Schizosaccharomyces pombe: one gene and its partner. The protein of the gene in region 2 interacts with the protein of the main gene of each other region in a pairwise test. Each region holds a gene or a part of one and is shown on either strand. Other genes may lie near its edges. The genes, in order: nap2 and rpl39.

The links.
Region 1: the proteins of rpl39 (region 2) and nap2 interact in a two-hybrid assay, tested with the Schizosaccharomyces pombe proteins (2 studies listed by BioGRID, with this or other methods).

What each region holds. Positions count from the first base shown.
Region 1 is NC_003423.3:2,983,984-2,987,909, forward strand, and holds nap2 (nucleosome assembly protein Nap2), read right to left. Parts: upstream 1,917-3,926; 5' UTR 1,866-1,916; coding exon 726-1,865; 3' UTR 524-725; downstream 1-523. Other genes in the region: UV excision repair protein rhp23, read left to right, coding at 2,981-3,049, 3,090-3,162, 3,204-3,926.
Region 2 is NC_003421.2:1,638,926-1,642,140, reverse strand, and holds rpl39 (60S ribosomal protein L39), read right to left. Parts: upstream 1,126-3,215; 5' UTR 1,121-1,125; coding exon 965-1,120; 3' UTR 961-964; exon of another isoform or gene 899-960; 3' UTR 746-898; downstream 1-745. Other genes in the region: leptomycin transmembrane transporter Pmd1, read right to left, coding at 2,079-3,215.

The DNA of each region.
Region 1 (3,926 bases), on a different chromosome or scaffold from region 2:
GTATTCAATATAATTCTTTTGAAAGATTGGTGAAGAGAATGAATAGACATCTCTACTTGTGTTCATATAATAATTACGTTTTGACAATCGAAGTAACTAAACTTAGAGTTACAAGAGGTAGTGATTTATTGTCAGAACCGTTATTAGTTGTAGTTCTTCCAACCTAGTACTAGTTCTTATACCTTATCATATAAACTCGGTGTGAGCTAACAATGCACTTAAAGATTGTTAATTAATGTACGAACAGATCTAGCTTTGACGTATAAAATAAATAGAAAAAGCTATTGCAGATAGTTATAGTAATAGCCGCTTACTTTTTGCTGGCTGTCCGCATTATCATTTTAGAAAAGCAAATGCTAATAAATAACACCACAGCTTCAAATAATGCGCGTACTAACCTAATACTAGCTATTAAAAAAGGAACCATGTAAGTAGAATATACTCACAGAATGATAAAAAATTACTTAGTATATTTTTTATACCTGCATTGGAAAAAAAAATTCAAAATTTAAAAAGACAAGAAAACAAATTGAAATTTTAAAGACAAATCCTAACTTAGATCCGCTTATTAAATATTTTATAGGATACTACGACGTAAATCAACATTTTAATTTTTTAAGCCACAATAAACTTACCAAACTATAAGCGAAATTATCATTCAGCGTCAATTTCTCATTTTTGCTCACATTGAACTTACTCATAATCTAACGAACACAATATAAATATCAATCACTAATTTCGCTACTCAAAATTTCTTCGTCATCTGAAGACAGATCCTCCTCATCAGTATATGCGTCTTCAGAGTCTTCTTCATCCATTTGGTTAAAATCGCTCAAGTCACCTTCTTCTAAGAAACAGTCAATTGCCAAGGGTATGATTTGATCTTTAAAGACTTCTCCCAATTGATAGTCGAGTTCTAAAAGCTCTGTTTTGTCATCCAAACCATCATCAGATTCATCATCGTCCAACTGAGGAGGTGAGAAAAAGTTGAAAAAACTGTCATTAGGGACCGTAGTACGGACCAATCTAGTTTGATTTGTTTTACGGTTACGTTGTTTTTTTGTCTCCACTCTAACCGTTAAATTTTTTTCAGGCTTGATCCAATTAATCTTATCACCCTCAGCATGATCATACAAAAACTCACCCGAAGGACTTAAATCATCTTTATAGTAATAAGTTTTCGTTAAAATCTTGTTTGTAAAGTAATCATTTGAGTCAAATTCGAATTCTAGTTTGTAACCATGAACATCTCCCGAAAGGTTGGTAAAACGAATGTCGCTGAGTGATCGCAAGACATTTTCATCTTCTGGTGTTATCATTTCGCCAACCAAGAAAACATTATGAAGACAAGTCAGCCAAAATTCGGGAATTCCCTTAGGATCTGGAAGATTATTTTGAAATATTTCTTCCTCGTGATCTAATTCGTCGTCCACTGGTTCAGAAACACCCTTGATAATTTCGGCTCTTCTAGAGAAAATAGGTTGATATTTTTTCTCGTATTTTGTTTCCAGATCTAACATTTTTTGACGAAATTCATATTGAATTGCATCACAATCTTTTTGAAGGCCTTTCAATGCTGTAATACGATTTTGGACTGCTGGCGCAAGGCTCTCTATATATCCCGACGACTTTCCAACCAACGAGCTAAGGCGTCCCTCAATCATTGATAACATGGCCGGATTGTTGCGCAATAACCCGCTAACTTCATCATGTGCTGATTTGTCCTCCAGTTGTGATTGCAAGGTTTGTCTAGCTTTTTCTAATGCGGCCTTACTAAGATGTACATCTGAAGATGGAGTATTTTGTGGCGTTTGAGCAGCAAACCCATTCCAAGACTTCTTAAAATCTCCTGGACCTTTAGACATATTTTAATAATGCAAACGGAGATTAAATTAAATTGGTAAAGCTTCGTTGTTGGACTGTGGATCTTCGTGAAGTCTACCAAAGAGATGTTGGGCCTGACTCGTTATTGCAGCTTAGCATATTTTAATGATATGTTTACAGCATTTTTCGTATGAGAGTCTTTAATGAAATATATTTATGTGTTTAGCGGCTATCATAGTTTGGGATAGTATTTGGGGTTTTATTTGGAAGAATATGTAAAATTAGAAAGCATCCGGAAGTTTACATATACGTTGACTTTTTTCTCTCCGCTTTCCTTATACTTTCTCTGACAAAGGTAATGGATTGTATAAACCAAAGGCGCTGCTTTCAAATTCTGATGTAGCTGTCCAAATAGCTAAAAAAAAAATCAATGAAATAAACAAATGTATATATCTCGTTTAAGCAAAGTGTCTACGCTATTCATATTAGTTTAACATATGTATCGTATCCCAATTATTAGTTGAAAATTCTATAAAAAATATATATATATGGATACTGATTAATAAACAACTCTACGTATCATATACTTCTATATTCATGAGTTAAACAACCTTATTGTAGCATTTGTTTACTAGTTAGTTGCCCACGGAGGAGCGAAAAACTATCGGAACATAATTCAAAAGTCAAACTTGTAAATAAAAATCTGCTATTGTAACGGTCATTGCTAACTTAAATAAACAAATCATAATTAATATATATAAATTTATTAGCGATCGTTCTGTAAATAAATAGAAAATGAGAATGAATAATCCAACAGAAAAATATATATATATATAGTAAATTAAAGAATAAAGAATAAACTAATACACTGTATTGAGTACTAATGGACTTGGAAACGAGGTAAATGTTTCACTCACAACACTTTCAAACAAATGAAATATTTTCTTACATTAAATTTTAGGTTCAAATAAACCAAACTGTTTTGCTTTTTAGATTTTTCATTCACATTTTATGATAAACAATGCGATGATACCAAATAATGTTACTTGTGTATGGTGTTTGTTTGCTACCTTGACAATTATTCTCTGATGCAACGTTTTTTCAAAGAGGTTTTCATTACTATACATTTACCCACTACGCCAAATTTGCTTTGAAAATGAATTTGACATTCAAAAATCTACAGCAGCAGAAATTTGTTATTTCTGATGTTTCTGCAGATACCAAAGTATGATAATTGTGGCATATTATTTTTCTAACGTAAACAGATTTCAGAATTAAAAGAAAAAATTCAAACGCAACAGAATTATGAAGTCGAACGTCAAAAGTTAATTTACTCAGGTATATAACATAATTTTAATATGTAAAATACTAATTTATAGGTCGAATCCTTGCTGATGACAAAACTGTTGGCGAATACAATATAAAAGAACAGGATTTCATTGTATGCATGGTTTCACGACCCAAAACTTCCACCTCTACTCCGAAATCAGCTGCCAGTCCTGCCCCCAATCCTCCGGCTTCCGTACCTGAAAAGAAAGTTGAAGCTCCTTCTTCTACCGTGGCGGAATCTACCTCTACTACACAAACTGTTGCTGCTGCTGCCCCTTCAAACCCAGATACTACTGCCACTAGTGAAGCACCAATAGACGCCAACACATTGGCAGTTGGTGCTCAACGAAATGTTGCTGTCGAAAATATGGTAGAAATGGGATACGAACGCAGCGAAGTTGAAAGAGCCATGCGTGCCGCTTTTAACAACCCTGATCGGGCAGTGGAATACTTATTAACTGGTATTCCCGAAGACATTCTCAATCGACAGAGAGAAGAGAGTGCTGCAGCCCTTGCTGCTCAGCAACAGCAAAGCGAAGCCCTTGCTCCTACTTCCACTGGCCAGCCAGCGAATCTTTTTGAACAAGCTGCTTTATCAGAAAATGAAAATCAAGAACAACCTTCTAATACCGTTGGTGATGACCCTCTAGGCTTCCTTCGTAGCATTCCTCAATTTCAACAGCTAAGACAAATTGTTCAACAAAATCCACAGATGTTGGAAACTATATTGCAACAAATTGGGCAGGGAGATCCTGCATTGGCTCAAGCTATTA
Region 2 (3,215 bases):
TATTGCAATTTTGTTTATCTCCTTTTTCATTGAGCGAAGAAAAAAAAAAGAAAGACCCTCCAATTATCATTTAAAACTTATTGCGTCTCGCTCAACCTTCATTGCAAGTGGGTAGGTGGGCTTTGAACACCTTCACGCTTTATTCTCTTGTTTCTGACCCTTTGATGTTCCCATCGATTTCCTTGGACATCATTCTGCCAAATGTGTTGCCATTTCATCTTTTTCTATTCTATTTTCTATTTTTTAAGCTCAACGTCACTGGCACTGAACTTTAGCACAGCTAGCTCGTTTTTGACTAATCTATACTCAATTGAAGTTCTGCATGACTACCATTAAATTTTTGTTTTATTTTTTTTACTTCTGGTCAAGTTTTAAATTTGTAAATATTTTCCTTACACAAGTAGACTTAAGATGTGTTGAAAGCTTCTTGATACCCTATGTACTAAAAAAACCCTGTAGCGTAAAACAATGCAGGAGGACAAATCATCCTGCAGTCATTTTATTTGTTACAAAGTATTTTAATAAAATAACTTACAAACTTTGTCGAAATTGAAATGAGTATAAATTTTTCAAGCTCTTTAAATAAAAACAAAAACTCATCTATCCCGACAATTACAAGTCAAAAGTTTTTCCTACCAGGTCAGGCCGCGCCGCCACCAACTACTAGAAAATTAAAGTACACTTAAAATCGTTTTATTTACAGATCATTCAACTCTACTATATTACACGACAATCCTTACGACTTGCATGGAACTGTTTACATAGTTATTGAAGACAACAGATACATTGCGTTTATATAGAAATTTTTCGCTCAAACAGAATGGATCCATTTTCTATTTTTGCACACGTAAAACGTAGGATACGCATAAAGCAATCCATAACTTCATGTACACGAACGCTATCTCAGTTAGAAAACAGTTACTCCACAAGCAAAGGCGTCGGTTGATTTTGTCGACATACCATTTTAGATGTTCAACTTGGTACGTCTCCAGTGTCTTCTCTTCATGTTATAATGAACAGTGTTTCCGGTGCGAAGACGAATCCATTGAGGAATGGGGCGGTTTTGACGCGCAGCCTTGGCAAGCTTTTGCTTGGTACGGAAACTCTTGTGAGAAGGCATTTTGTGGAAGACAGAGTGTTGCATCCACGCAACTAAAGCGAATGTGACTGCTCTTTTTTCACAACTGTGACTGTCTTTTGAAGGTTTTTGTAGGATTTAAGGAATAATTTCAACATACTATGGTACATATTGCTAGTAACCGTTAAAACTGTTTTGTGAAATATGCCGTCAGAGCGTTATTTAAACTAGAATTGAGATACTGAAGAAATAATTAAATATATTTCAGTTAGTCCAAAAGCTTGTTGTTAGAAAAAGGCAGACGCATTCAAGAAAGTAGTGTTAGTAAGTAATATTTGGTTCAATCATATCAAAGTAAACTTGCTATTAATTTTACATTTGGGCTAGAAGCTCATATTTTAAGCATTGAGGTACAAAGAAGTTCCCAAGTCAAAAAACTTCTATTTTGTTACTACTATTTACAATTTGAAAAACTACGAAATCCGTACTTATGAGGGTCAATAAAAAAACAAAAAACGAATCCATTATTCATTATGAATCAAAGTTAATGGTAAGAGTAAAATGCCATCGTACCGATTACGATAAAATAGACAATTATTTGCACGTTAGCAAATTAAATTAATCAGTTGACCAAACAACATTAAATAGCACAGACATTAAAATTCCTTACATTGCTAGTAAGGCCATAATGCCTAAAAAGTAACCTTGTTATTCAATCCTTGAAATTGACAAGTTTTTGGAATAAAACACAAACCTGACTATGGATGAAGACATATCTAGAAGACAAACGACAAACATCCATTTTCAAAATAAGGAAATATTAAGTAATTTAATAGCATTGGTCATGCTTCATCGCATAATAGTATACATGACCTAAATAAAGGAAATTCGGAAATAACTTAACGATATATGAGGGAGTTAATCTAAACAATGGAAACCCTTTTACTGATCAGAAAGACAAAAAAAGGGCTCTTGTCGGGTATCACCCTTTTCAAATAAATTATGCTTTGTTCAATCCCTGTTCAACCACAAGTTCATAGTAACGACCGCGCTGTTTAACAAGCTCGGCATGAGTACCAGCTTCAGCGATAACACCACCATCAAATACGAAAATACAGTCTGCATCTTGGATAGAAGACAAACGATGAGCAATTGCTACCGTGGTTCTACCTTGAGAGGCGGCATTTAAAGCTTCTTGAACGACCTTTTCGCTATGACTGTCTAAAGCACTGGTTGCTTCATCTAAAAGGAGAATCTTTGGATTTCTAATTAATGCTCTAGCAATGGCAATACGCTGTTTTTGACCACCAGATAAGGAAGAGCCCTTTTGACCGCAAAGTGTGTTATAACCGTTGGGCAATCCAAGAATAAACTCATGAATATTGGCCTTCTTGCAAGCTTCAATCATCTCTTCTTCAGAGACATCTTTAGATGCGCCCAAAACAATGTTCTCACGAACAGTACCTTGGTACAACGTTGGCTCTTGAGAGACAAGGGCAATTTGTTTGCGGTAGTCGTTAATGTTATAGTCACGAACATTAACACCGTCCACCAATACAGCTCCATTGTCGCAATCGTAGAAACGCTCGATAAGCCCAATGGTCGTAGATTTACCACAGCCAGAAGATCCTACGAATGCGACAAACTGCCCGGGCTTCACAGTGAGGTTCAAACCACGAAGAACTTTAATATGCCTTCTGGTAGGGTAACTAAATTCAACTTGCCTGAATTCAATTGCTGCACTTTGAAGGGATTCAACTTTCTTTCCTTCCGTCGACCATGTATCAATTTTAGGTTTTGATTCGGACAAATACTTAATTTCACCGGCAGCAGCCTTTGCTTTTGTTACATCTGCTGAGTAACCAAAGAATTGACCAGCTTGTTGTATACCAAAGACAATTGCAATAAAACAAGTATAAAACTGAACGATGTTATATTCGCCCTTGCGCATTAAGGTAGAACCATACCAAAATGTCAATGCGTTAATCAAAAAGGTAACACCTTGAGCAGCAGAAAAGAATAAACCAGATTTCAATGATGCGATTGCCGACTCACGGCCAGGTTTGATGAGAGAATCACAATACTCAGCAAAAACGTTTTCTTCGCGATTAAGACTAGCGACTGTACGAATGGCTGA